Linked DNA regions of Coturnix japonica. The protein of the gene in region 1 interacts with the protein of each later gene in a biochemical or structural test. Links are inferred from orthologs where the notes say so. Each region holds a gene or a part of one and is shown on either strand. Other genes may lie near its edges.

Region 1 (3,807 bases):
GTTCACAACTGAGAGTATAGCTGACAAAATACATTAGTGTTCTATGCACCCAATACACTCTGAAGTGCTCAGTTTACACATGTACAGAGTGTAATGTTTTATGAATCACATATGCTAGGCACACTCATCATCACTGATAACATCAGCTGTCAATACAGAGCCTGAGACAAAACTCTTGGCTAAGGTGTGATAGATGCACACTGAAAAAGGAAGTCTCACAAAGACACAATCTGAAGAGAGACTCATGGAAAAGATGAAGGCAATGATGCTATAAAGTATAGGACTATGGATTTTTAAGCCACTAAGTCTACAACAGAAGACCCCAGGTTGTGGGGTCTGTATAGGTTCTGTCTGTGAGCTGAAAGCAAGAAGGGATCCAAAACAAACTCACGATACAAACCTGGCAGCCAGAGCCCCCACTTGGGGCACCACCTCAGCAGGGATGTCAGCATCAGCAGCATAAAGGTACCGCAGGAACGCACGGGCTGCCTCTCCTGTCACATCACTCAGCAACACACGGCGTATCTGCACGTTCCCATCCTCCTCCACTAAGAACCCTTCACTGTGAACCTTGTAAAAAACACAGTTCAATGCAGCTACTTACAAAGCAACTACAAAAATGACAGAACGTCTGTGTAGAACTGCCCAGAACTCAATCTTCCCAGCCTGGGTGAAAGGCAGGAGATATTGAGATGGAGAAGACAGTCTGCACCGGTATTAATATAACATCCAAAGGCACAGAGCACCTAGGAAGTTTTCTGTATTGCTCAAGGGCAGGATGTAAGTAAGGATCCTTGCCTCTTCATCATTTCTCCAGATAATGTAGTATGTTTTCCATCACTTTGTCACAATTCTGCCTTCCTAAGATGAGGGAATCTGCATGTCCGCAGGCTCCTGCCATTAGGACCTGCAGCATTGACTGTAGGTGTGGGCAGTCTGGGCTGCACTGAAGCAAAACAGAGAAGTGTATCAGCAGTACTTACAGCCTGAATGGCCTCCGGACACCGTGCATACAACACAAACATGTGAGCATAAAGGATTTCCCCAGAGTCCACCTGGAACTGGACATCACTTAAATGGGGATTGTTGACCATTGCTCTGAAATCTTCAGCCAGTGACCTCAGGGAGGACTAGAACACAGAATGAACACAAAGACAAGTCATATCACAGCTGTCACACACCTCCCTGATGAATGAGAGGAATACCCAGCCTGCCAGTATCGCTGTATTGCAGACCCCATTTTGGATCTGCTGTCACTGCCTTCTGCAGACAACCAGCAGCACTATCAACTCAAGTACAACAAGCAGACAAATCTGTAAGACACTTTTGGATTTGTTTTCCTCCTCCCTTCTACTTCTTCGCAGTCTGGCAGTTGTGAAGAAATGGCAGTTGTGCTGCACTCTGCTTTCTCTGCCTTGCATTACAGCACATTATCACCATCACATTTTTGCCAAACCATTTCCTGATGCGGTCTAGCCACTGCCTCCTGTTGGCCTCTTGATCTGCTGCCTTCCACCACATTTTAGAAAACTGTTCTTTTCTCTTTGATGGACTGGAACTCACTTCATTGTAATCAGAGCAAGAGGAAAGAGGATGAGTCAGTGATGGGGTAATGAACTTTTCTCCTCTCATCCATTGGCTGGCAGTGACAGCTAAGAAGAGCAGCTCTGCAGTGAGGGGCTCACATGCAATAAAACTGATGTAGTTATCTAGCCCAAAGGATTTTATATGCTCGTTACACAAACTCCTCTTGAAAATTCCACTCAAAAAAGCCCCCAAACAATAACAACAAAAGCCCCCTAGTTGCTATTACAGCTCCAGAATGCCTTGCTGGAAGTCTGGGGAGGGCTTGCTGCCTGAGCTACCTGTGATATCAAATGGCAAAGGCAACAGGAGGCTGGGGGCATGCTGCCAAAGGCAGGAACAATACACATGGCTGATGTACACAGTTTCTGCCCTGGAGCTGCTCCCAGTACAAACTCACCCCAAGCAACTCTCATAAGGTTCAGATCTCTCGAGGCAAATGTGCCCCTAGAGGTGGCCATTGCTTCAGAGAAGCAGGAAATAACCTCAGCTCACAGTTAAGAGAATGAGCAAGTGAAAAGCAGTTCATACACAACACACTAGGGATTGACCTTGTGCTTTTTAAGCCTGTTGCAGAGTCAAAGAAACACAAGTCTTACTCTAGAGAACATCTGCACGAGATGCAGTTCCACCTGGAACAACACAACTCTGAGCCTTAACTACCTCTGTTTCTATAAAAAGGAACTGGAAATATTCCACACTTCTATGAACTGCATAGTTTCCTCTTTACATTAGTAAGCAAACACAAAATAAGGATGGGGAAAAGGTTTTTCCTTACTTTCTTACAGCTGCGTGTCAGGAATCTCCTCTCTTCAAGTGAAGGGACAAAACCAGTACATGGAGTATCACTGGAAGTCAGTTCTTTTCCTCAAAGAAGAAAAAGTGGATCACAATCATGTACCCCTTCCTAACGAGACAGAGTGACATAAGAACTCCTAAGAGAACCTTTGCCACAGCAGTTCCTCAGGACAGCTGCTACAGTGAGCCTGATGGGGCTGACATCCCAGCCTGTCCCAACAGGCCTCACCTCCTGGATCATCAACAATCTGTGGGTGCTCTCATGGCTCTCCTGACACAGCACAACCAAAGTTTGGATCTGTGTAGCTGAAGGGATTAGGGACAGAGCTCATGAAACTGCCAGAACTTACCTGACTGCTCTGCTGCATGAGTATGGCCAACATCAAGTTTCCACTGAGTAAGGGTAAGTCCTTCCTTGGCCAGTTCAACTAGATCCTGCAGGTTCTGAATATCCTTCTGGCTGTGAGATAAAATCTGCCCATCTCCTTCAGGGCCTGACTTGGATTCATCACTAATTTGGTCTCTAACGTCTCTACAAGTGGACTCATGAGAACCAAAATCAGGCTGAATTTGCTGGGATCCTTTTGGCTGATCAGATCCTGCTGATGGCAGAACATCCTCTGGTTTATGATTCTGATCAAAAGAGGAGAATAAGACACCAATAAGTTAAGTCTTGTGTGTACTTTCAGAGCTCAGAATGCAGTCTCTAGTTCATACTTTCAGAATATCTAGTAAAGAATTACAGAGCATACCTCAGGCTTCCAAGGCAAAAACTCTGTCATCTTATGAAGGACGCTCTGGAGAAAAGATAGATATAAAGGGAAAAGGGAAAAAGGGAACTACAACAGAAAATACAGAAAAAGAGGTTTCACAAGGTGCATATTTGAGCAGGCAACTGGCAAGGAGGGAGAGAGGATAGTGGAAATGTTCCCAATTCAACATCTAAATATTTCATTATTGCTGAAATGTTTGGCAGAAGCTGTAGCTGAAGCTGCCCAGGTGCTTCTGTTCTGAGATCTAAAATACTTTTGCAGTTACATGTAACAAAGCCAAACTTTCACCTCTGAGCTGATATTTTCCAGGTTTGACTTCTGTTTCCCACTGAAAACAGTTTTATTTATTTCTAAGTAGAAATGGCCTAGCTATTTCTCAGAATGGAAGGAATGAGATGGGCAAACATGGCCCTGATTTTAAAGGTCTCCCTCCTTTTTAAACGTCTCTGGTGTTTTTGAGTGAGAGGTCAAAAATCCTCACAGAATGGAGTCCCTCTATTACAGCTCTGGGTAGGGATAAGACAGTGAAAAACTCTGGAATCCAACAAGGAAAAAAGTTCTTAAATAAAACACGTACATACACAGAGTAGTTTTTGAACAGAAGCACCAGACAATCCTTCAAGGAAGGCACAGGGGAAGGAAGAGAAGTAAT
Region 2 (4,330 bases), on another chromosome or scaffold:
GGGAGCAAGAGAGCAAAGCACAGTTAATTTCAGAGCAAGAATTTCCTTGTCATCTTCAGACAACGGTCCAGCAGCAGTGGTCTGTCCCAGCTGCCTCCTCCCATCCCTTCCTGTGTCACACAGGAGACTCAGAGCATGGTGACCAACTTGAAACTTCCTACTTCTGTGGTAGGGATGACACTGATGAAGGTTTTATAAAGAATTGCACCTTTGGGTAGAGCGCAGATCACCTCCCTGCTCTCGCTGCTGCGTGGTGGGGGTACGTACACCTCCTTAGTGTATCTCACAATCCCATCCTCCAGGGCGTAGAGTGTCTTGTTCCGGCCCATCCCCACCTGTAAAAGAGCCAGGTTGGTGTTAGAAAGTAAAGGCTGGAGGTCGTTCACCGCAGCACACCAGATGCTCTGTCTGTGCTGTGTGATATCCTGGCTTCAGTAGCAGCTGCTGCTTCAGGTTTTGAAATAAAGTTTGTTACTTACGTGAGCCCCTGGATGCCAGCGGATCAATCGCTGGGTGGCCAGAATGTTGCCTGCGTGCACAAATGAACCTGCAACAGAGCGGCAGAATCAGACCACAGAGAAACGGAGCTCCTTGAAGCCCTGAGGCTGGCAGAGGAACAAACAGTTCCAGGAATTAAAGAGCTGTATGTGGGGTTTGTCTATGGAAGAACCGAAACGCAAAAAGCACCTAAAAGAAAATGCCATTAGGAAACAGAGGGCAATTGATAAACAGTGGGGAAATGCAATTTTGGTCTTTGAGGAGATTGCTTCTAGAGCACAAGGTGTTTTCTATTTGCTGAAGCCATTTGTTCTATTACCTTTAACACCGCCGTGTTTCCATGAGCAAACTCACTAATTATTAAGCGCTTTGCTGCACTAATCTGTACTTTGGCTTCCCCACATCGTAACTCTCCCCTTTGTAAACACGTACAACGCACAGCGCCTTATTGCAGCGTGGAGTGTCAGTGCCCGGCCCCACCTTCCACTTTCTTCACCCCGTATCGCTTCCCGGGGCTGCGGCCTCCCAGGTTCTTGGAGCTGCCCCCGGATTTCTTGGAGGCCCATCGGACAGCGGTCAGCGCCGGAGGAGAGACCGACAGGACTGGAAGGGAACGAGAACAACAACACAGACGTGAAGGAACGTTTGGGGTTTATCTTTCCCGATTTAGAGGCTCCGTCCCGTCCCTCAGCACCATCCCGGCCCTCAGCCCCGTCCCGCCGCGCACTCACCCCGCCGCCCCCACGCCGCCATCTTTACCCCGCCGCCATCTTGCACCGCCCCGTCCCTTCCCCTTCCAGGGCGGTGAGAAGCGATTGGTCCGGACACAAGCGTGCACGCGCACTCGGACCAATCAGCTCCCGCTGTAGGCGCACGCGCTCGGGATCCGGCCAGTCAGCGCGCAGCGCGCCAAACGCCCGCTCCAACGGCCGCCCCGTGAGCGGGAAATGGCGGCGGCCGCGGGCAGCGCTGAGGAGCTGCCGCCATCCATGGAGGAGCTGCCGGCATCCATTGAGGAGCTGCCGCCATCCATCGAGGAGCTGCCGCCATCCATTGAGGAGCTGCCGCCCCTCGCTGCTCTGCTGCAGCCGCTCCCCACTGCCGGGTCCGCCCCCGCCGGGGCCTCGTGTCCCTCAGTGAGGCCGGGGGGCGGCGTCGTGGTGCTGAGCAGCGATAGCGAGGACGAGGTAGAGGTCGCCCCGCTGTCCGAGCGCCTGAGGCGGAGGCTGGTTCCTCCCTCGGCGGGTGTCGGGGCTGGAGCGGGGGGACGCGGCCTTTGTCCCAGCGATGGGCGCCGTGAGCTGCTGCTGGTGGATGATGGCGGGGACTCGGCTCTGCTGCCGCCCGACGGACGTTCCGTCAGCCCCGTTAGTGCGCCCGGTGCCGGCGGACACTCGTTACCGCCCGCAGCTGCTGTGACCGAGCGGCCCGAGGGGGCTCCGGGGAGCGGAGGACGTGAGGGAGCATCTCCCCCTCCGAAGAAAGCCAAGTACAGCCAGCAGGAACGGGGGGCGGTTTGCAGGGCGGGCTGCGAGAGGAGAAAGGAGCGGGAAGCGCGGAAAAGGCAACAGGAGGAGGAGAGAGAGAGGAGGAAGGTGCTGGGCCAAGTGCTGAAGGCGCAACGGCCGGGGCAGTGCCAGAAATACATCAGTGCCGTGCTGGACACAGGTACCGGGCAGCACGACCGGCCTCACGGCAGCTCCTGCCGCAGGAACCTGACCCGTGTGCCCATGTCAGCTCTCTTACAGCTGGAAGGTGGAGCACAGATCCGCGCTGCTTTGCAGGCTGCAAATTACTCGTGTGTGGTGGAGAGCCAGGCTGTGCCCTGCAGCGTTACCTGGAGGAGGAAGGCAGTGTTGGCTCAGGTGCGGGGACAACATCTTGATTCTCTTGCTGCCCTTTTCTTCCCACGTTGTTCGCACTTGATAATAATTGTTTTTAGCATCCCAAGCAAACATTCCTTAAACCATTTCCCTACCTCAAGTTGAGAGCACTGCTTTGATTTTGAATTGCAAACAGCGTGTTAGCTTGGCTGGTTTTTTTTATTGTTTTCCTTTATCTGGGCAGGCTGAGGATGGTAATGAATGGACAGAAGAGCCAAATCTCCTGGTTCTGCTTGGCTTGGAAGAGTTCCTGTCTATGGTTCATAGCTACAAGCAAGTAAGTCTGCTTACGAGTTTTGTGCTGTCTCAATGTGCTTTTCTGGAGAGGCAGCTGGTATTTGCTGTCCCTTTTCAGTTGGAAGTTATGATTTTAGTAAGTCATAAGTCTGATTTTTAGAAGCCTGTACTTGATTAAAAACACTGAGATTGTCTAAGGCAGAGTTCTGGCAAGCTCTCTTTCCTAGCTACTGTTTTTCAGAGGCTTTTTAAGAAGTAACATTATCTTAATAGATGTTGTCAGGTCAAGTATGTTGTGGGGCTTTTTGTATGTTTTGTTATTATTGTTTTCTTTACTGTAACTTGTTACTAGATGAAGCGCTGTCTGCTGGCACCTGAGGCTACAGGAGCAGAACTTCACTTATGCTGAGACTTAGCCGCAACATCGGGCGATACCTTGCTGGGCTTGTCTGTGCAACTCGGAATGATCCCACTCCTTTTTTCTATTGATCTTTGCAGGCGGCCCGGGGCTGTGCAGAACAGAAGGAGACTTTACAGAGCTTTGTAGCTCGTGTGATGGAAAAAATGCCTGGGAAAATTCTGGCTCTAACAGTTGTTGAAGTAGAAAAATATTTCAGGTTAGAATTTTTCTCCTCAAATATGTCGGTGTTGTTTCACTTAAAAAGGCAGCAAGTGTTTTACATCAATTCCTTCTGGCGAAGACTGGAGCATATAAAGAATTCCCATCCAGAACTGTCCCACATCTCTTACATAGGAACAGAAGCAAAGGTCTATCTGACTTGTCACCACATTGCCCAGTAATAAATATCTTGGGAAGTGTGCAAGGGTGTCAAAAGTATTCACAGCTACTTTCTTGAAAGGCTTTTGTGGCTTAAAAATAAATAAATAAATGCAGCAGAGAGGAATTTTCTTAGTCAGATGTAATGTTTTGTATTTAATAGACCTTCTCTACAGATTCAGCCTCTCTTAACACAGGGTGTTGGTACTGAGTTGTTTTATGTTCCACAGCAGCCCAGCCCTTCTGAATTCCCAATCTGATCTTCCTCTCTTAGATGTCTCAGAGCTCAGTCAAAAAAGAGACTGCAACAGACAACAGTGAATAGAAGCCAGGGAGAAGATGGGGGAGATCAGAGGAAGAAACAAGTTAATCATCCTGGCCTGGAGATCACCAGACTGGATGTGGAAGATGTGAGTAGAACAAGTCTGCAGTTGTTGTCTGCCACTACTTGAACACTCGACCCCATCACATGCTTTTTAGGACTGGGATCTTCAGCTTTTGTTGATTTATGTACAATCAGCAGAGCTCTTTTAGTTCCCTTCTTCTCAGTTATAAACCTGCTCTTTCATGGGCTAACATGCCTTGTTCACCTTGATTCTGGAAGTGAAAAATGAATCTGTTAGCATTTCCTGTACTTCATGGCCTACTGGTAAAGCCAATTGTTGCTGTCCAGGGTGAGTTGCCTGCATGTTATGGGAATCTTCCAGCTGATCTGGCACTGAATTACTATTAAACAGCAGCAAAGTAACCCTGAACACTTTGCCTTAAGCCGTTTCCAAAATAGGAATGGGTGTGACTTACACCAAGATGTTAGGACTGGTTGTTGTTGCTTCAGTCATGAATGGAGTTTGATGTAAGAGGATGAGTTGTTCCATCTGCTGTTTTCAATGATGTTTACAGGCCTTGGTGGATTTGCAGCTTTGCACACGTGTCC

What was found.
Region 2: the proteins of SLX4 (region 1) and EME1 form a complex in vitro, tested with the Homo sapiens proteins (3 studies listed by BioGRID, with this or other methods). The link is inferred for Coturnix japonica from reciprocal best matches to the Homo sapiens genes SLX4 and EME1.

What each region holds. Positions count from the first base shown.
Region 1 is NC_029529.1:10,977,648-10,981,454, forward strand, and holds part of SLX4 (structure-specific endonuclease subunit SLX4), read right to left. Parts: intron 3,180-3,807; coding exon 3,135-3,179; intron 3,016-3,134; coding exon 2,733-3,015; intron 2,452-2,732; coding exon 2,363-2,451; intron 1,131-2,362; coding exon 984-1,130; intron 571-983; coding exon 401-570; intron 1-400. UniProt on the Homo sapiens protein: Regulatory subunit that interacts with and increases the activity of different structure-specific endonucleases.
Region 2 is NC_029533.1:9,102,669-9,106,998, reverse strand, and holds the start of EME1 (crossover junction endonuclease EME1), read left to right. Parts: upstream 1-1,403; 5' UTR 1,404-1,445; coding exon 1,446-2,363; intron 2,364-2,565; coding exon 2,566-2,658; intron 2,659-3,116; coding exon 3,117-3,235; intron 3,236-3,670; coding exon 3,671-3,806; intron 3,807-4,296; coding exon 4,297-4,330. Other genes in the region: MRPL27 (39S ribosomal protein L27, mitochondrial), read right to left, coding at 129-335, 480-547, 979-1,101, 1,230-1,251. UniProt on the Homo sapiens protein: Non-catalytic subunit of the structure-specific, heterodimeric DNA endonuclease MUS81-EME1 which is involved in the maintenance of genome stability. In the complex, EME1 is required for DNA cleavage, participating in DNA recognition and bending.